Linked DNA regions of Danio rerio. The protein of the gene in region 1 interacts with the protein of each later gene in a pairwise test. Links are inferred from orthologs where the notes say so. Each region holds a gene or a part of one and is shown on either strand. Other genes may lie near its edges.

The links. The genes of interacting proteins can lie anywhere in the genome.
Region 2: the proteins of myo5b (region 1) and rab25a interact in binary tests that used the Homo sapiens proteins (3 or more experiments, as listed by UniProt). The link is inferred for Danio rerio from reciprocal best matches to the Homo sapiens genes MYO5B and RAB25.
Region 3: the proteins of myo5b (region 1) and trim54 interact in binary tests that used the Homo sapiens proteins (3 or more experiments, as listed by UniProt). The two-hybrid records come from large-scale screens. The link is inferred for Danio rerio from reciprocal best matches to the Homo sapiens genes MYO5B and TRIM54.

What each region holds. Positions count from the first base shown.
Region 1 is NC_133196.1:23,940,011-23,946,994, reverse strand, and holds part of myo5b (unconventional myosin-Vb), read left to right. Parts: intron 1-1,059; exon of another isoform or gene 1,060-1,097; coding exon of another isoform or gene 1,098-1,144; intron 1,145-1,279; coding exon 1,280-1,366; intron 1,367-1,521; coding exon 1,522-1,633; intron 1,634-3,433; coding exon 3,434-3,645; intron 3,646-4,406; coding exon 4,407-4,563; intron 4,564-6,984. UniProt on the Homo sapiens protein: May be involved in vesicular trafficking via its association with the CART complex. The CART complex is necessary for efficient transferrin receptor recycling but not for EGFR degradation.
Region 2 is NC_133194.1:8,472,144-8,479,865, forward strand, and holds the start of rab25a (ras-related protein Rab-25a), read right to left. Parts: upstream 4,543-7,722; 5' UTR 4,391-4,542; coding exon 4,354-4,390; intron 3,909-4,353; coding exon 3,713-3,908; intron 1,432-3,712; coding exon 1,238-1,431; intron 1-1,237. UniProt on the Homo sapiens protein: The small GTPases Rab are key regulators of intracellular membrane trafficking, from the formation of transport vesicles to their fusion with membranes.
Region 3 is NC_133195.1:42,034,447-42,042,230, reverse strand, and holds the start of trim54 (tripartite motif-containing protein 54), read left to right. Parts: upstream 1-3,242; 5' UTR 3,243-3,354; coding exon 3,355-3,522; intron 3,523-7,737; coding exon 7,738-7,784. UniProt on the Homo sapiens protein: May bind and stabilize microtubules during myotubes formation.

The sequences.
Region 1 (6,984 bases):
TACTGCATTTTAGTGATATTTTAAGTACTATTTTTAGCTGGATTAGCTTGTCGATTGGTCATCATAACCACACTTTTTGAGGTACTAAAACATTTACTAAATATTTTAAATAAAGAAATATGAAAAACATTTATTAAAAAATACAAGTTTATTACATCATATATCTTGTATCTGTTAAAGTTTTAAAATAAAAACAAACTGGCCAGCACATTCAACGTTCCTCAATCAGAATCTTAATTATAAAAACATTAATAATAAAACATTAATATTAATAATGTAGAGCTTTTTGATTTTTCTAAACTTTTTTGTAACTAAAAGTACATTTTGAAAGTTCATGGATAAAAACAATAGCCTAATTAGTATAAAAACTTACTTTAATATGGGCTTCTTTTGGTGCTTTCAAGAATAAGGTCCAAGATTCAAAATAAAAGTTACTTGTAGTAAAAGAAGATTTCACTTTCGTCATATACTGTCTTTTTAAAACATGGACTATAATTTTTTACTTTTATTGGAAGCCTTCTTTGATCCCTTCTCAGTTTATGATGGCACTGCAGTCAAAATAAGACAAATGAGCTCATGTATGGGACAAATTCTGGACCTTTTATTGGTGGGGGGTGAGTTTTTCGAACCACCCCCACCCCCTGACTACTGGCCTGTCAAACCCAAACCTACTACATCTAAAAAAATCCATACTGAGTATTTTCAGGTGGTCTCTTTGTTTCCTCACTAAAGCTCTTTATTGTCAAAAACTATATATTTAAATCAACATATTGAAAGCAAAACTCAGAAATCCTCTAAATGTACAAATTACATACAATACACACAAATATAATTAAGTATACTAAAATACTATGCACATTTTAAAAACATTATGTCGGTTGAATGTATTTATGTGCTTATTTTTCTTGTAAAATGTACAACCCTGAGCAAAATGCCGAGTCTTGTTTGTGTCCTCAAAATTCCTGAGCACAAGGGCCCCTTCAAGGATGCTTAATTGAGAGAGTATTGTCAGTCACATGCTCTTGAGGTTTCGAACACACAGTCTCAGAGCTATGAGTCAGTAAGCCTCTGGTCCCTGAGCGGACAGCAGCATCCCAATGCCTCTCTCTCGGGAGATGTGCTCTATGCTCAAGAGAAAGATCCGGTAGGTCTAGATAACCCCCCCGAATTTCCTGTGGTCCAACACACACGCGCTCTTGTTCTCAACCCAGCGTCAAGATCAACTTCTTGTGTTGTTGTTTTTTTTTAAATTCTTTAAGATGTCTTTTGCTTTCTGTAGGTTTGATTCTAGAAGAGCTGTTCAGCAACTAAGAGCATGTGGTGTTCTGGAGACCATTCGCATTAGCGCCGCCGGCTATCCATCACGGTAATCAATCTACAGCTCTTTTCTTTCTTGTTTGATTTATCTGACTTCAGTTTATAAACCTCAGGGTCTCCCCAGTAGAATTCCATAATATTTCTGTATTGACTTCAATAGTCATTCAAACTGATTTCCTCTTCACATCTGATGTTTTTTCTTAGATGGACATATCCAGATTTCTTCAGCAGATATCGAGTGCTCATGACAAAGAAGGATCTGTCAGTCGGAGACAAGAAGCAGGTCTGTAAGAACCTGCTGGAGATCTTGATCAAGGTAAGACCAGTTTAAATATCACTTCCACAAATGTACTTGCTGTTTTCAACGCTGATTACATTTACAGTTAAAGTCAAAATTATTAGCTCTTCTGTGACTTTTATTCTTTTTCGTTTTTCTTTCCTTTTTTAAGTAGTTCCCAAATTATGCTTAACAGAGCAAGGAATTTTTCCACAATATTTTCTATAATCTTTTTTTCATATGGAGAAAGTCTTATTTATTTTGTCTAGAATAAAATCTATTTTAAAAAAATGTATCATTTAATGTTAAAATTATTAGCCCCTTTAAGCTATATATATTTTTTTGATTGTCTACTGATTTGCCTGATTACCCTACGTAAACCTAATTACCTTAGTTAAGCCTTTAAATTGCACTTTAAGATGAATACTAGCATCTTGAAAAATATCTAGTTATATTTTACTCTCTATATTATTATTGTATTATTTACTTTCATCATAGCAAAAATAAAATAAATCAGTTATTTGAAATTAGTTACTAAAACTATTATGTTTAGAAATGTATTGAAAAAATGAACAGAGGAGTTAATATTTCAGGAGGGGTTAATAATTCTAACTTTAACTGTGCATGCACACTTATAATAGGATTTTGGTCGATTTGATTGAGCGTATAATAATTATAACCATAATCAATGTAAATTGTGATTTTAATTACAATGAACAGGCTAGTAAACACCTTGATGCTGCGGTCACACTAGAGTTGGAGCATGCGGAAGTATGGCCCTGAAAACGGGCGGAAATAAATAAGATGATTAGACATTTTAAAAAGCGAGCTAATGGTCCATATTTTACATTTCTTTTCAAAGAGGTCATGTTTTGGTCTTCAACTGGTCTCACACAGATGCCATGTTTTGTTTTGTTTTGTTTTCACTTCATAACTTCATTTTAACAATACATTCATCAGCGCAACTCACTACACTGTTACAGCTCTGAAAATTCAACTTTATTTCAGAATATTTGTCAGGTTTTTGTCCTCAACCACTTTTGTGTGTAGGACTGTTTTTTATACATTTCGTCCAAAGACTTTTGTTTAATTTTTTATTTTTGACTCATTTTTTTGAATAATTTTGCTGTTAAATAAGTGGAATATTTCAGCGTCATGATGTGGAGCTGTGATAAAGTCATGACGTGCCTGGATTTACTTTAGCCGTGTGATAATCTAAAAATTGCTGAATGTTCATCAGCCAATCATAATCAAGCATTCATCAGCGCCTGCACATGTATATCTATTATTTCACAATATTATTGTTTCTGTTTTTGATCAAAAAGTTTTTTATAAAGCTTTTTTTTCACTTTCGTCAATTGGTGAAGCTTATTCTTCGACATTGGCTTCCTTGGTTTGGGACTTGTGGAGCTGCGCATCAGTGGAGTTGCTCTTCAGTGTTCAGTGTTTGGGCTCAGCAGAGACATTTATATTACATTAAACTAAGCTAAAATTTATCAGTGAAAACTGGACTAAAGCGGTTTTAATTTACTAGAGACTTCTTTGACACAATCTACATAGTAAAAATCACTATAGAAATAAAGATGAATTGATATGAATGAAATTAATGCAGCTTTGTTGCAGTGACTGTGACCCACTGGTAGTGAGTTTATTATATCAGATTTAATTTTTTATAACAAATACAGATTAACTATTAATTTTTCTGCTCTGAGTTAAATATATAATCAATCCTGCAACATTATCTTTTATTAACATACATTTATATTTGACGACATATCTTTCAATCAAAGATAGTTATCTTGAGTAATCCTGTTTATTGTGACTCTGTTTCTCCTTCAGGATCCAGATAAGTTCCAGTTTGGAAAGACTAAGATCTTCTTCAGGGCGGGTCAGGTGGCCTATCTGGAGAAGCTCAGAGCCGATAAGTTCCGCTTCGCCTGTATTAAGATCCAGAAGACTGTGCGAGGATGGCTGCAGAGGATTCGGTATCGCAAGATTCGCAAGTCTGCCATCACTTTACAAAGATACGGCCGGGGTTACTTGGCACGCAGGTGAGTGTCTGAGTTGATGGCTATTAGCTTAAAGGTGTATTTTAAGGAGATCCCTTATGGTTACTCAGTCAACTTCCTTTTGAGTGCAATAATATGGGAGTTATTCTCTACATCAGTAGATGCTGTTTCTGATCTTCCTTAATTGCCTCATTTGTAGTTCTGATGATTCCTCTGGGAACGTATGCATCATGATATCATGAATGTAAATAAATGCAGCGAGACATTTAGTTGTATTAGTAATGTGACCTACATGACCTATATTATGTTAACTTGTGTGCATTGTTTGTTTTGACAGCAAATTTTGATTTCATTTTAGTCTTATTTCAGTCTTCTTCGTGGATTGTAGTTTAAGTTTAATTTTATTTTGCTAAATTTATCAAATTTTAGTTAACTAAATCTACTCTAGATAAATTAAAGTTAGTTTTTTAGTAATTTTCTTTTGGTTTAGTCCCTTATTTATCAGGGGTCGCCAGAGTGGAATACTCAACCCAGTACTGGAAAATAGTTAAATCATAATATATTAATAATACCTCAACTTAATGTTCATTATTAAGACTGTAATAAGCTGATTTGCATTAAAAGTCACTGAAGAAAACCGTGTTTAAGCTTTTAGCCAAAAATTAGCATTGATTTAGTTAAGCTATTTTAAGCGTAAACGTCTACATCTTAGGTGTCATAAGACTCATATGACATCTTTTAAAAAAGGAATAATAGCAGGAAGCGCTAATGCTTCAATTACAACTTTTCTCATTGTCTCTCAGGTACGCAGAGATGCTTCGCCTGACCCGAGCAGCAGTCATTTGTCAGAAGCAGTACCGCATGGTACAGGTTCGCCGGGAGTATCTGAGGGTCCGTCGGGCTGTAATCACCATTCAAGCATTCACCCGAGGCATGTTCATACGCAGGTTATATCAGGAGGTACAGCACTGCATTTTTATCTTTCACTCTCTCTCTGTTTACCTCATAAAAGCAATTTTTTAAGGGGACATAATATGCAAAAATCACTTTTTTGTGGATTTAAAACACAGTTATTTGGCAACAGTCTGTGAATGTACAGTAGCCACCCTCTATTGGTAAATAATAATTAATTGTATTTTTTATCACACTTGCAAAACAATGCAAAAAAAACTTTGTACATGTCATCGGAGCAAGAGTATCTATTTGTGGACTGCAAGAAATGGGCGTAACATGAAGAAGGCGTAACTTGTAGTAAGTTAGATGCGTAACTTGCATCTATTGAAATCCCATTGAACCATATGAGATGTCAAACTAGATGTTGTTAGCAAGCCGGTGGAAATATGTACCAGAGAACATTTTCAGCAAATGTTTTTATGAATTTTCTCCAAATTTATCAACAACCTATTCATTTGATATAGTGTTATAGTCATTTAGAAACTCTGACTTCTTAGTCTGTTTGTCATGACAGTACAATAATAACTGTGATGGTTGGGTTTAGGGTTGTGGTAGGCATAGACGTTAATAACTGTAATGGTTGGGTTTAAGTGTGGAGTAGGTGTAGACCAGAGCTATTCAATTAGTTTGTCGTGGGGGCCAGTCCATAAAAAGCATCCCAAACGAGGGGCCGGAGAGATATGACTAGCAATATAAGTGATGACACAACAGCATATAAGAGCCCATATGCTGTATTTGTGGTCATAAAGACACCCACGTTGACTTTTTCTACATTAAAACGTTAATATGTTGTATTTTTAAACTGCATATCATCACTGCATTGTACAATGTGGCTTTTTTACAAGCATATCTAAAGGTTGTATTTCGAGGCACAAAATCAGTGTCTTGCTCAGTAGGCTTTTTCTACATTCAGACACATTCTTATGTTATGTTTTAAACTGCGTAACAATTTGGGATGCAATGATTATAGATTTTGGTTGTACGATTATAGTCTAAAGAATAATCATGGTTTCACAGTTATCACCATTACTATGCCTTTATTATATTTTAAACACTACTAGTTTAGAAAATAAGAAGAAAACTGCTTAGATTTTAAAGCATTGTTTATTGCTGCTCAGTAATCAAATACAGCACAAAATATTTATAAAAAACAAACAGTAGTCCATTTCTCTTTTTGGACTTAAAAATAAATTGCGAGCGCCAGCAGGGCGCAAATGCATCGGTCCACTTGCAAGCCGTGCGTGCGCCGCTCCCAATATGCGCACGTCTCTATAGGAAATATTGTATTTGTGTGCAGAAAAGACACAATATGTGAACAGCTTGCTGGAATAATTAATCCAATGTGCGTTTAGGCAAAACTTTTAGTTGCAGCAGCTTTTTTTCTGTGCACCAGAAATGCAGCGTTGAGAAGCCTGTAATGAATAAAAGCGGGGTTAAAAGTGAAATCAGCTAATCATTGCACCCTTAATAATATCAGTGCATTGTACAAAAGGCCTTTTCAACAAACCAATACAAATGTTTTCGGCTGCTCGCACCACTCGCCTAATGTCAGGTGACTCACTCTCTGCGCAGCCTTCAACTGCAGCTTGTGTTGTATTGAAACCGTCTATAGCACAGGTGTCAAACTCAGTTCCAAAAGGGCCGCAGCTCTGCACAGTTTAGTTCCAACCCTAATTAAACACACCTGATCAAACTAATAGAATCCTTCAAGCTTGTTTGGAACCTACAGGTAAGTGTGTTGGAGCAGGGTTGGAACTAAACTGTGCAGGGCCTCCAGGAATTGAGTTTGACACCCCTGGTCTATAGCAATCGTTTTTCGACTGAACTAAATTTATTTTTAATGTCTTGGTCACACTTTGGAGGGCCGGAACAAATTGCCTCGGGGGCTGGTTTTGGCCGGCAGGATGCTAGTTGAATAGCCCTGGTGTAGACGTTAATAACTAATGGGTACAGTGCCATCTTGCCAACAACATAGTTTCAACATGTGGGTCTCCTTAACTTCATGTTACACATTTTCTACAAGTTACGCCATTCATGTTACACCCCTATCTTGCAGTCCGTAGACAGACACTTCTTCATCAGAGGGGGAAAAAAACCCAGCCATTAGTGAAGATCTCTGCCTCATTAGCATGAACAGTCCTGAGTGAGAAGCAGCCATTAGTCCTGAGTGAGAAGCAGACATTATCTTCAGCAAGTGAAAACCATTAGAGTTTTCACTTGCTGAAGATAATGTCAGCGGCTGAGATGATTATTTATGTGGAGTATTAGATGCACAAATGAACACTGTAATCTCCATAGGCTGCCTTCTCCTGAGAATCTCATTTGCATTTAAAGCAACATTCAACAAAACAGTACAATTAGGATCAAAGCCTAAAAGGGGGCAGTTTCAAAGAGTTATAAAACATTATTTGTGTGGTGTTTTGATCT
Region 2 (7,722 bases), on another chromosome or scaffold:
ATTAAACATTTTCTAATTGGGATTATTCTGTGAATCCATATGCATTTCAATAATAACAAATGTAAAATTGCTAGGGTCTCATTGCACAGAGTGTGTCTTATATTGCACACAGATGAATGAATGAATAAATGAATGAATGAATGAATGAATCAATCAATCAATCAATCAATCAATCAATCAATCAAATAAATATGTGAATGAATGAAATCAATCAATAATGAATGAATGAATGGAATTTGTGGATAATTGAAATAATTGAATCAATTAATGAATCAATCAATCAATAATGAATGAACAAATTAAATGAATAAAATCAATAATGAATCAAATGAATAAATATATCAATCAATTAATGATGAATGAATGGAATCAAATTAATCAACCAATAATGAAATAATCTAATAAATGCATCAATAATGAATGAATTGATGGAATGAATGAATGAATGAATTAATTAATTAATTAATTAATTAATTAATTAATTAATTAATTAATTAATGAATTAATGAATGAATGAATGAATGAATGAATGAATGAATGAATGAATGAATGAATTAATTAATTAATTAATTAATCGATAATGAATAAAAGAAAGAAGGAATAGAATGGAATCAAATCAAAAAATTAATGAATGAATAAATTTATCAAGCAATCTAATCAATCGATGAATGAATCTATTAAATAAATCAATCAAATAAATCAAACAATAATGAATGAGTGAATGAATGAATGAATCAAACAAATTAATGGATGAATGAAGTTAGTCAAAATTTATAAATGGAATCAGTGACTGAATTCCATTAATGAATCAATGAGTGAATGAATCAATCAATGAATCAATCAATCAACCAAATCAATGGATGAATGAAATCAATCAATAATTAATGAATGGAATGAATGAATAAATGAATGAATCAGTTAATGAGTGAATGAATGAACTAAATGAATAAATTAAATTAATAAATAAGTGGAATCGATGAATTAATTAATTGAATGACTTAACGAATTAATTAATTAATTAATGCCTTAACGAATTAATGAAGTCATTAATTAATCAATCAATCAATCAATCAATCAATAATGAATGAATGAATTAATTTATGAATTGAAACAATCAATATTCAATCAATCAAAATGTGTTATCAAGTATTCTCTAAAAGAGGGTGAGCAATGACAACATTAAGGTCCTCTTTCATGCTTGAAATGTCTTAAACTGAGGGCTATAAACTGCAGATACCTGCAAAGTCTTTGGCCTCCTCTGTGGGTACAGTGCGCACAGTTGCCAGGTCATTTTTATTGCCCACCAGCATGACCACGATATGAGGATCAGCGTGATCATACAGTTCCTTCAGCCAGCGCTCCACGCTCTCATAGGTCAGGTGTTTGGTGATGTCATAGACCAGCAGCGCACCCACTGCTCCTCTGTAATACCTAAAACAAACAGCATTACATGTAAACACACAAGAAACTCAATTGCATTTGGCTCACATGATTCATTATTTGGTTTTTAATAAGTATGTATTGCATCCTACGGGGGAAGCTGGGGGAACGGGATGTTGTAATCACACAATATCTACACTTCAAAGTTTACAAGGTTTCGGCCCAGTAAGATATTAATCGTAACAGTTTACAATAAGGTCCATTAAACTTGAACTTTTGGCTAATGTATTTATTAATAATACTCATTAATTTTCCTTCGGCTTAGTCGCTTATTTATCAGGGGTCACCACAGCGGAATGAGCCGCCAACTATTCCACCATATGTTTTACACAGCAGATGCCCATCCAGCTTTCCTAGAGATGGGTTGTGGCTGGAAGGGCATCCGCTGCGTAAAACATATGCTGGATAAGTTAGCGGTTCATTCCCCTGTGGCGACCCCAGATTAATAAAGGGAATAAGCCGAAAAGAAAATGAATGGATGAATGAATACCCCTCCAGCCGCACACTAGTACTGGGAAAAACCCATACACTCTCACATACACACACAGCCAATTTACTTCATCCATTTCACCTATAGCGCATGTCTTTGGACTGTGGGGGATACCGGAGCACCCGGAGAAAACTCACGCCAACACAGGGAGAACATGCAAATACAGAAATGCCAACAGTAATGAACAGTTAATAATGTTAATTAAGATGCTTTTTCTCTGTATGTCAACAACAACATGAACATTTTTATTCAGTGTGAGCATAGTAAGAAGAATTTATTCAGCAGGAATGCATTAAATTTAAATAAAAGTTACTTTAAAGACATATATAATAAATGTATGGATACTGCCATTCTTTTGAATCTTCTGTTAATTAATGAATCCAGGCAAAAATGCATTACAGTTACTACAAAATTATTAAAAAGCACTACAACGATTTAATAATAAATATCTCGAGTACGTTGGCCATGAGAGCTCAAACATGCTGCAAAGATCTAAAATGTGTTGTAATTATATTTTTATCTCTTATTATCTGACAAATTGCACAATTAACTTTAAATTCACTTCGTTTGAGCTCTCTCGGCCACCGTATTCGACCATTAAACCATCAAATAAAATCTATTGAGATACAAAGCTGTATTCAAAATCCTGGTAATTGATAAAAAAATTATACAGATTTTTTTATTCAAACTTGTAATAACAATTGATAAATTTTAATCAAATAAATGCATCCTTGATAAGCATAAAACCCTTAAAATATATAATAATAATAAATTACCAAATCAAAACTTCTAAATAGTATAATTTACTAATCTAGAAGCATCTTTTAGGAAGAACTCAATATTCTGCAGTATTTCAGTAACTATATATTTAACATAACCATGGTTAAATTCTAATTCCTATCGTCTGAAAACTCTAAAATTTAGTGGTAGGACGGCATCAAGGCATTTCCTAATCAAAATTCTGCTTCACTTCCTTCCTCAGAAGGGACCTTCATCTGATTGAATGTTGAAGGCAGCACAGATGTGTCCATCGCACTTCAATTTTAACCCAGTAACTGGGTATGCCAATATTTGACTAGTTGAAATAGAAATTAGGGTGGCACGGTGGCTCAGTGGTTAGCACTGTCGCCTCACAGCAAGAAGATCTCTGCTTCAAGTCCCAGCTGGGTCAGTTGGCATTTCTGTGTACAGTTTGCATGTTGCCGTGGGTTTCCTCCGGGTGCTCTGGTTGCCCCCACAGTCCAAAGACATGCACTGTAGGTGACTTGAATAAACTAAATTCGCCGTATGTGTGTGAAAGAGTGTGTATGGGTGTTTCCCAGTACAGGGTTTGCACCCAAGATTGCATATGCTGTGTAAAATATATACTGGAACAGTCAGTGGTTCATTCCACTGTGGTTACCTCTGAAATAGAGACTTAGCCAAAGGAAAATAAATGAATGAATGAATGAATGAATGAATGAATGAATGAATGAATGAATGAATGAATGAATGAATGAATGAATGAATTAGAAATTTGACTGGTTGAGTTGAAATAATTTTGCATTTTTAAGTGTAGTGGTAGAAACTTTAAAACACAATCACTTTCTATGCTATAGTAAAATAATGCAAAAAGCACTGTAGCTGTCAGTAACTATCCTTTAAACTGTGTACCAAGTTAAAAAGACATATAGGAGTGGTTCTGGGTGTGAGTCTAAATCAATTGCAACAAATTCCAGATAATCTAAAACAAGGAAATGTACATGAATCTGAGATGAAAGGAAGATGAAGTGAGGGACGTACGCTGAGGTGATGGCCCTGTAGCGCTCTAGACCCGCAGTGTCCCAGATCTGGGCTTTGATGGTGATACTGTCCACCTGAACAGAGCGAGTGCTGAACTCCACGCCAATAGTGGTGCGACTGTCATGGTTGAACTCGTTTTTGGTAAACCTTGACAGCAGGTTGCTCTTTCCAACCCCTGATTCTCCAATTAAAACCACTGAAAGACAACCAAGACAGCATTTAACTTACTTTGAATGATGCGTAGTTAAAGGAAAATACAATTTCCACACTTCACTAGTTGCAAACCTGTTTGACATTCTTTCTTCTGTTGAACACAAAAGAAGATATTTAGAAAAATGCTGGAAACCTGTTTCCATTGACTTCCATTGTATTTGTTTTCCTACTATGAAAGTCAATGGTTACAGATTTTTAACTTTCCTCAAAATATCTTCATATCTATTCTGGAACCGCTTGAAGGTGAATAAATAGTGAGTAAATATTAATTTTTGGGTGAACTACCCCTTTCAATTTCTGACACAATTGGAAATACATGAAAATACAAAATAACAAATATCTTTTATATATTAGATTAGCATGCTAGGCATCAGACGCAGCAATCACAGTAAAAGCATTTAATCTTCAATCAGCTGACTGAAACTTACCTTTGAAGACAAAGTTGTAGGCTAAATCTGTCCCCATGTTGTCTCTAGCTGTAATGTGTCAGTCTGTGTTTAGTGCATACGTGTTACTCGAGCTCAGAATCCACTGGGAGGAGAAAAGCAGATGCTCAGGTTTCTCCGACAGCTTTATTGATCCATTCTTGCAGGTCTAAATGCAGATTCAGCCAGACTCTTCTTTGAGACAGTTTGGGTGGGAAAGCAGGTGAAACTGGTAGAACCACTGACACACACACACACACACACACACAATGGGAGTGACTTCATTCTCTCACACACACTACTGTTAAATCACCGTTCCTTCACTCCGACTGCGTGTATGTATCCAGTTCTGTATGCGCAAAAACAAATATCAGAAGAGCTGAGTCAGAAAAACAAGCCGTCCTGCATCAACATGTATCTTTATAGGCAACAGGTTGAGTTTCTGTAAACATAAAATAAAAGGGGTTTTGATTAGTTTGACGTAATCAAAACAAAAGCTTTGAATTTAGCTCATTTTAATGCAAATTTACCTGTTTAGCCCAGTGTTTGGCTCATGTTTAGGCTTGTGAATCACACCTCTGCTGTTCATGCATCTTTTTTCACAATAACCATTGTGTATATTGTTTGGTACAGACAGCCAGGGGTGTGAAATATGTGTGTAATCTTATTAAATGAATGTTCATTCATTCATTTTCCTTCAGCTTTCCTTCAGCTTTCCTTCAAGATCGACACAGTGGAGTGAACCGCCAACTATTTTAGCATATGTTTTATGCAGCGGATGCACTTACAGCGTTGCAACCAGGGTGCGAATTACAGGGGGTTTCGCGGGAGAACTGACCCCCCTAAATAATGCTTTATCCCACCTGAAGCACATCAAAACAGCGTGTATGGGGGTCAGTCCTCTAAAAAGAGAGAAATAGAGGTTACTCTGATTTGTTTCTTAAAAGATAATATAAAAACTGATAATAATAGGGGCGTCACAGTGGCACAGTAGGTAGCACCATCGCCTTACAACAAGAAGGTTGCTGGTTCAAGCCCCGGCTGGGTCAGTTGGCATTTCTGTGTGGAGTTTGCGTGTTCTCCCTGTGTTCGCATGGGTTTCCTCCGTGTTCTCCGATTTCCCCCACAGTCCAAAGACATGTGCTATATAGGTGAATTGGGTATAGACCATAGATAAATTGTCCATAGTGTGTGTGAATGAGTGTGTATGGGTGTTCCCCAGTGATGCAGCTGGAAGGGCATCTGTTGTGTAAAACATATGCTATAAGTAGGCCCACACAGAATCTGCGCACACAGAATTCTGCAGATTTTCCGCAGAATTCTGCAGATTTCTGCAGATTTTTAGCCCATCATTAATTCTGTTTATTTACTTGAGTAAGTGTGTATATCTGAATTTATTCAGTTTTTATTCAGTAATTTATTTCTTTTTATTTAATACATTAAGGTCTTAGTTATGATACTCTGCTGGATACTCCCAAAATAATTCCGCAGAAAACCACAGATTTTTACCAAAATTCTCAGCAGAAATAGCAAAAAACGTCCGCAGATTCCGTCTGGCCCTGGCTATAAGTTGGCGGTTTATTCTGCTGTAGCAACTTCTGATTAATAAATGGACTGAAAATAAAATAAAATGAATGAAAAAAATAGATTATATATACATTTGACCACCCCTATATTTATTCATATCATTGTGAATGCACAATCAGTCTATGTGAGAAACAAATTATTTATCAGTCTGAAACCATCAGATCAAAGCACCGATAGACAACCAAAGTGTTCGTAAGACACTTTTCTTGTAAAACAGCAGTTTGTTTCTACATATAACCTGAAAGTGAACTCAAATTAGATGCATAGTTTTTATAGTTTGACCTACAGTAAACTCTGGAATAGCTAATCAGAGGATATCGTAGGTCAGAATACACTAAATATCGCACAAAACACTGGAAACTTAAATATGTTTATTAATAAATCAGATTAATTAAACTAGCTCAAATAAATACATTCATGTGATTCACTAAAGCATGTATTACACAAACTAACGTTAACATACCAAAAAGGTTACCCTCCTGTTGGTGAATGTATAATTTGCACCTTGGGCACAACCCAGTACTGGAAAACACCCATACACTCTATCATTCACACACACATTCATACACAGGGCCAATTTAGTTTATTTAATTCACCTATAGCACATGTCTTTGGACTGTGGGAGAAACCGGAGCACCTAGAGGAAACCAACTTGCGGAGAACATGCAAACTCTATGCAACAGCACTAACCACTAAGCCACCATGCCACCTTAAATTAATGTACTTTAGTTTAATTTTTGGGAAACGTTTTTAAATGACAAAAATGTAATTTATATTGAGTGCTTGTGCTTGATTTGAAGAAAACCATTAATTTTATAATGCCTATCATTTTATTTCACTTTGAAAAGTAATTGCTTCACTGTTGTTTTTTCCTCCATCTTACACACAATGGGGTATATGCACACAAACTTTTAATTTCAGTCAGTCAGCCCCATTGCTTCCGGTTAATTGTCATCCCAAACTAAATTGCAGCGTTTAAGATCTGATTTCTTTAAATAACAGCAATCTTCACTGCCTGGCTGAGATGCGATATATAGTGGGTATCAGACCTAGCATAAAAACACTGCATTAATTTATAGACTATTTTTCCACACCATGTCATTAAAATATGGAAATTAATTTTTCCTCAGTATTTTTTTTAAAGTTTTTGCGCTTACTCGCTGCTAATGACGGCGCCTGCATTTAAACGGTTTTTATGCTTTACCAACCAAATATTTAACTGAATGTATTGTAATTATATTACAACATCGATGCTGTAAAAGAAACCTTATGAAATTAAAGCTTTTATAAAGCTTTCGCTAGAAGTTTATCATTGGCTAAAAAAAACTAGCTGTGCATATAGCTTATTGATAAATTTAAAAGTTTGTATGTTAACAGCACACATTTCAGCGTATGTTATTACTTATCTAAAAGAAACTTCTTTCATCATCAAATCTAAAAGTATACTGAGGTAACTTAGCTCACCCAAAATTTATTTTTAATACATTCTTATAAAGTCTATCCACTTGTGTGCCATTTTAAGTCTTATTTGTTTTTAACCATTAATTAAAAACTTTAATTTGTACTTTTTTACCTCACTTTTTTACTTTGTTAGTACACTGTAAAAAATTCCACACAATTTGTTCATTGTCTCAACAAATTTAATTGGTTTAAACATAAAACAATTAAGTTGCCCCCACAAATCACAAGAATTGTGTTGCTTCAGCTTGAACAAGCAGTTTGTGTATTTCTACTTCCACTTAAGTATGGTAGGTCATTTGAGTACTTTATACAGCTCGTGATAAT
Region 3 (7,784 bases), on another chromosome or scaffold:
ATCTCATCAGCAGCCATTACAGCTCGCTTTCTTCAGCAATTGAAAAGCACATACTTATTAACTGACGTTGCAGCAGAAAATGTGATTTAAATTAAGCTTTTTTTTCTTCTTCTAGAAACTATACTTGTAACATAAGTAACGTAATTACACTGACTTTAGTAACCTGTAATCAAATTACACAAATTTAAAATGCAATTCGTTACATTACTGTGTTCCTCAAAAATGTAATTAGAACACAGTAATGCGTTACTGTGGAACACGTTACACCCAACTCTGTTCTGAAGTAGAAATCATTAGTGGTGAAACATAATTAATACTGAAATTTAATAGCAATAATGAAACTTTAGGAATTCCCTCCAAAACTTTTGGGATATGGATTAAAGAACAGAAGTCCCAATCAAAACAATGACATTAAATACACTGTAAAAGGTGATTAGTTGACTTTAAAAAAAATTGAGTTAACCTTTTGTAACATAAAACTAATATTTTGACAACTTAATTTTTATAATTATGCACCAAGTTCATTTGCTTAATTTTAGGGAAACAAATAAAGTGAGATTTATTTATAAACTAATTTCGAGAGGATCACGTGCTTATGATTGTTCTCAGCTGGTCTCCCATCAGCTTATGATTGATTCATCATTCAGATGATTACTAACTCACTATAAATAACCAGAGTTTTCTTATCTCAATATTTCTTGTCTTGAAGAACCCCCCCCCCCCTCCCCAACCACCCTTACACCCCCTCCTTTTTACATGGGAGACACGGCAGCCCAGTTATTAGCACTGTTGCCTCAAAGCAAAAATGTCTCCGGTTAAAGTCCATTCTAAACCAGTTGACATTTCTGTGTGGAGTTTGCTCATTCTCCCCATGCTCGAGTGGGTTTTCCCTTGGGTCTCTGGTTTCCTCCCACAACCCAAAAAACACGCAACCTAAGTAAATTGAGCATACCAAATTGATACCATAGCCAAGCTCTTAGCGAGTACACCTCTTTTCAGCCATCATACAGTATATCGGTCATTAGCCAGAAATAAGCCAGGGGGAGTTCATTGAGATCTATCTGAACTCAAACTCCCCTCTCGCCCTGCAAACGGGAGGGAGCCCAGGGCTCAAGGATCTCATAAGCTCAGTGCTTTCTCCCGGGACAGTATGCCAAACGGGCTTTATTATCAATCATCTGCTGAGTGTGAACTCTTGAACTTACTTTAAGTAACTAATAGCTATTTACAGTGTACATACTGTAGCATTTAAAATGAAAGTAAATGTGGTTTCAATGTTTCAGATAACTTCTGTCAAAATAAAATGTCAGAATGTGCAAGATAATGTTTTACCTCCAGCTTAACTTGTTTAAAAATTTAGACAAACTTATTACTAACTGCTTATTAAAATATTAAATATAAAATGTTTAATAATTATTTTTTTGTGACATGAATCTCACTGAAAATGGTAAAATCTGGTGGTTTGTAGCACATAAAGATTTAAAATGATAATTAAGTATTTCAGGGCTGCAATGTGATCCTTAAATAAAGACTTTTAATATGAAATCGAATTATTATTCTGAATATGCCTCAGATTTTTATTGTTTTTAGATTTACCGCCACTCTGAAAGACATTTTATAATAGTTAAATCATAGTTTTTTTTTTCAACATTACATTACAACGCTTCAGTCACTTTATTTTAAGGTATAATTCATGCTATTCATAAACCATTAACTAAAACTTTTAGCTTGTTAGACTACTAATAAGCTGCTTATTAACAGTTTGTGAGGTAGTAGTTGGGTTTATGTGTTGAATAGGATAGTGCGTGTAGAATAAGTATTATTAAACAGCCAATATCTTAATAACAGGCAGGTAATAATCCAGTAGTAAATAAATACTTAAACAAAAGTCTTACTAAACCTTCATTTTGCTTTGTTGCTTAACCTCTTTTACATGTGACTAATTAAACTTAATAAAATTCCAATATAATCTAAACTACACTGATATTAATGCATTGCATAGCATTCAATGTATTACTACACTTCAAAAAATGTCTTTTGCTGCTTAAACTACTCTCTTAAAATAAGCTGAAACAACACAATTCTTAAGGGTTTTTTAGGGCACACTTAATATTGGAAAAACTAAGTTAACTTAAGTGAATTGAACAAAAAAATAATATTAAAACAATTAAGTTAACATAAATTATTTGTGTTGAGACAACTTGAGGGAATTGTGTGGAACCCAGCATTTTAACAGTTTATATACTATATTTGTAAACACTGGATTTGCAGGTACAGTGGGGGGAATAAGTATTGAACATGTCACCATTTATAAAACACATAACATGAAATGCATATATAAAAAGAAAACCAACTAAATTAGTTTACAAATTAAGTGTTGTGTAATAAAATGAAATGAGACAGGAAAAAGTATTAAACACATGAAGAAAGAGAGGTGTAGAAAGACAGTGAAAGCCCAGACAGCAGCTGAAATCTCTTAGTAGTTCTTCAGCAACACTCTGCCCTTCATCATTGTAAATGAATATTAGCTGCTTCAGTCCAACATCTACATTATCAGGATGATGAAAATAAAACCACAGTGGACATTTCAGCAAGACAATGATCTAAAACACAGTCAAGGAAACTCTCAAATGCTTTCAGAGATAGGAAATCAAGCTGTAGAATGGCCCAGCCAATCACCTGATTTGAATCCAATATAGAATATGAAATAATGATCAGATTTGATAGACGAGACCTGAGAGCCATCAAGACTTTTACACTGTTGAAGCCAGTGAAAAAAGTCACACCTGAGCAATGCATATGACTTCATTCTCCAAATGAGAGGCGTCTTTAAGCTGCCAAGTCAACAGCACCTTTAGAAATATGTTTTCTGAGAAAAATGTTGACGTGTTACTTATTTCCCCCACTGTATATCCACATAATCTATGTGTTCAGAGCACTTAGGCTTTGTTTTAGGTGGGTTATATCATCGGCGCCAGCTCGGGCTCATGGGCCTGCTTGTCTCACTAGCCTTTGAGTCGCACACACCAGCTGCTTGGTCTGCCATGCCCACTTTCTGCTCAAGTTACCACAGATAACACAACTCTGAGCAATCCGTTCTCCCACCCCTCTCTCTTGCTCTCTCTCTACCCCGGACCCCTCAATGCAGCGCTAACTGGGGTATTCAAAGTGATATTAAGGGGGTGTGCAGTTTGGACAGTAACCCAAGCCAGTACAAACACAGCCCAAATATATCCTCTGCCACTCTACGGTTGGCGATTGATTGGGCATCTGGATGAAGACTGGCACTGCTGGAGAATAACAGAAGGAAAGGAAGTTTAGGATCTTAAGCTATTGACTGAATTTGGTGTCCAAATGAACTTCACTTTGGGCTTCAAACCGTCGATCGGAGATTCCAGCTCAATGGAGAACTTGGAGAGGCAACTGATTTGCCCCATCTGTCTGGAGATATTCAGCAAGCCTGTCGTCATTTTACCCTGCCAGCACAATCTCTGCAGGAAGTGTGCCAATGATGTTTTCCAGGTAATGCTTTATTGCTGTTATTATATAGTGTACGGCCTGTTTTGAACTGTAGTATCTAGAATGCTCATTTAACTTTTGAGAGCTTTTTTGTAATTGTAAAAGCTGGAAGAGGATCTGTGTTTTCAAGCCATCTATTTTCCCTTTAGAATGCCTAATGAGTTTTTAAAATACTGAGTTTGGATTTATAAGTTGAAACTGGTTCAAATGATGCAAAGAGACTTTTTGTTCTTTAATGTAAGGCAAGATGAAGCAAGGCAAACTTTATTTATAGAGCACAATTTTAAGCAACTGTATTTGATCCAAAGTGCTTTGCAATAAAATAAACTAGACAATAAAACTAAAAAACTGGTATTAAATACAAGGAAATGTATATGTTTAAAAGTAATACTAAAATACAAGTTAAAAAAATAATAATAATAATAAATAACATGCATGCATCACTCAAAGGCAAGAGAGTAAAAATAAGTCTTTAAGTTAGATTTAAAAGCATCCAATGAAGGAGAAATCCTGATGTTCAGGGGGGGACTGTTACAGAGCCTTGGGGACACAGAAAGCTCGATCACCTTTTGGTTTGAAGCAAGACCGAGGGACAAAAAAAAAAATTTGGTCATGGAATCTTAACGGTCTACAAGCTGAATAAGGCCTAATAAGTTCACTGACATAGACCGGGGCAGAATAGTGCACTGCTTTATAAGTGAAATGAAGAATTTTAAAATCAACTCTGTATTTTATAGGTAGCCAGTGCAATGAGGCAAGGACAGGGAAGATATGATCTCTTTTCTTAGTTCCTGTTATTAATATAGCGGCTGCAATGTACGCCCCCCACCCCCCAAAAAATCGTAAATTAGCAGTTTTTTGTATGATTCACCCCCTAAACCCCTCACCCCTTCCCCCAACAGAAAAATAGTACTTTAATATATTTTCAGAATTTAAAAAAAAAAAGTTACTTTCAATTTCAAATGTATTTGCTGTATTTTAGATCAAATATATGCAGACTTGGTAAGTGAATAATCTTCTTTCAAAAAACAATACAATTATTTCACCGAACACAATAAGAACGCAATTTCAACATTTTGTGATAACATACCCAAATGATTAAAATACATTTGATTTATTTTAAAAATCATGGTAATTATTATATTTTAAATGTATTTTTAAAATGTAATAACATTATTATACACTGTAAAATTATTTTGTAAACTAGCAGTTTTTGTGATTCACGTTGTTTATTGATGCTTTTATTTATTTGTTCGTTTAATTTTGTTGTTTGTTTTTGTGGAGTTTTCAAAAAAAAAAAAAAAAAACCTCAATATCAATGTTACAATTTTTTTTTTAAACAATAGCTCAGGGTAAACAAGAACATTCAAAAGCCCTCAGTCCCCCATCCCACCCCAAAGGAGGAGATTAAAAAACGCACACAACAACATAAGCACCTACAAGAATTGCAACTAAATAAATATACATAAAATATAAATAACACACACAAACATTAATAAAAAGGGCAGAGATCTTTCTTGAAAAAAAAAATCATATAAATCAGTGAAGAGATGTGTTGTATTCCTGACAAAATTAATTACAAAAGTTTATTTATGCTTTTGAATTACATTATCGGACCTTGATCTTTCTTCCAATAACATATAACCTTGAAAAGTTTAAAAATGTGCCGTTTATGAACCTTTTTTATACTTTAAAGTGATATGTTGTCTGGGTTGGTGCTCTATACGGTACCGAATTGTGTGAAACCTAGCATTTTTTTTTACACTTTGGCATGTTCAAGTGTGTTCAGTTAGTGTTGGAGCAAAACTCTGCAGGGACACCAGCCCTCCAAGATCGAGTTTGTCCATCCCTTAACTAATTGATCAGATATTAAAATGTTTTAAGTTATATTGTTAATGATGTTGTACAGTATTCCCTTAGCTGAGGCCTAATATGAAACCAGAACTCAAAGTACCATAGCATCTGTCATACAGAGATTAATGATCCATTTAGGCTTTCTTTTTTGTGCCAATCTCTTTTACTTTGCTCCTTTTGGCATTAGTTTATTCATCTCATCATCAAGACAAGTTCATCCTTTAGCAGTCATTATTAGTGTTGTTTCTTCTCTCTCTGCGAAGTGAGTGCCATTAGGTCAGACTTCAACATGACTGAGTGCTTCTAATTATACTTTTAACAGTTATAAAAGATATCTGATGGGAACATTACACATTTTTTTGGGCAAATAGATTGATTCTGGCTGGAAGTGCATTCACAGCGTAAAACATATGCTAGAATAGTTGGCGGTTCATTCTGTTGTGGTTACCCCGGATAAATAAGGAACTCAGCTGAAGGAAAATTAATGAATAATACAATAATAATAACACATTTAATTTACAAAGCTCCTTTAAAAGTTACTTTTTTAAAGTGCTTTGCCTACAAACCTCATTTATTAAAGGGAACAACAGTAAAAGATCAAAACAGATTATTGAAAACATGTTAATTAAAAGCAGTCCTAGACAATTCATCATTATATATACTCCAGACTGTTGTAAATACGCTGTAGGCCATTTACAGATGTGGATTAAAGGTAAAAATATTCATAAGACCTTGGTATTATCAGGAGTCATGTAAATTAGTTTGCCTCTATATGTTTAGACTCTTAATCATTAGCACATTTCACACAGACATTTTCAGTAAATCCTCCTCAAATATTCAGCCCGATATCACGAGTAAACATAACTATGTATATTGTCAGAAAAGTAACTATTCATACTCATTCACTGATATGTAAATGTAGATTTTTTTTTTTTTTTAAAGGAGATGTGCCTTCAAACTCCACTCCTGTCCCTACCCCTCATTGGTGGATGAGCAAATCAAACTGAAATGTATGAATGAGATTGAAATGAATATTTTATTAATTTCTCAGTGGATATAGGCAATGTATTTCGGTGCATGAAAAACAGATATAATTATTAAAATAATATTTTAGTCACCACACATATTTAGAAATCGAAAGATAATACAATAAAAAATCAAGCAAAATATACAAAAATAAATAAATAAATAAAAATACAACCTACAAAGTTTCAACAATTTTTTTTACTTATTTATTTAATCATTTTGCTTCTCTTGTTTTTTTCCTTTTTAAAAATTTTGTATTTAATATTTTTCTATAATAAAAATTTGGGTGTACTAGTTTTTGGATCGTTATCATATATGTTATTTTGTCAGACAAGCTCCAGATTTGGCTTCAGTACTGACTAATCTAATGTATATGCACAAATATAATATTATATAGCTTCCTATTAAAAACATGAATTTAAAAGATTTCTGTATGGTCAAAGTAACTTTAAAAAATTACTGTAATTTGTTTCAGCTAAATGTATTTATTGAGGGCACATAAGCAGTACCTGAAGATATCTTTGTCAGAGTAACTAATAGACTAACGTTACTGTTGTTAAAGCCTCGACCTGGCAGTATTACAAACATGTTTTAAAAAAGATATGTTGCCATCGCGAATGCTTTCTCATTCATTCATTCATTCATTTACATCTCGGCTTAGTCCCTTTATTATTAATTTGGGGTCACCACAGCGGAATGAACCACCAACTTACCCAGCATATGTTTTACACAGCGGATGCCCTTCCAGCAGCAACCCATCACTGGGAAACACCCATACACTCCCATTCACACACATAGTACACTACAAACAATTTAGCCTACCCAATTCACCTATAGAGCATGTCTTTGGACTTGAGGGGGACATACAAACTCCACACAGAAATGCCAACTGATCCAGCCGGGGCTTGAACCAGCGACCTTCTTGCTGTGAGGTGATCGTGCAACCCACTGTGCCACCATAACGCCCTGATGCTTTCTTATATAATATGGGAATGCTTCTCTTGTCTAAATAAAATTTACTTTGGCCACAGACTTTCTTCACATTTGAATCAAGTAATGGCAGATGGCAAAACATGACCTGGCGAGTTAAGTAAACATGAATTAGATTGTTATATAGAGTGTATTTAGAGTTACTATAATAAATAAGGTAACTTTTTTGCTTTAAAATCAGAATCCATAATTTTTCACTTAATCAAATATAAAAACGTACTTCAAATGAAAGACAAGGTAGATTCAGCACTTTTTTCAGTGCATTAAATGTTTAATGTCTGTGAAATGCTATTCCATCAAGTTGTTTGCTTTTAATGGCACCCCTTTTTTTGTCTTTCATTGCTCCAGGCCTCCAACCCTCTTTGGCAAAACCGGGCCTCAACCACTGTGTCCAC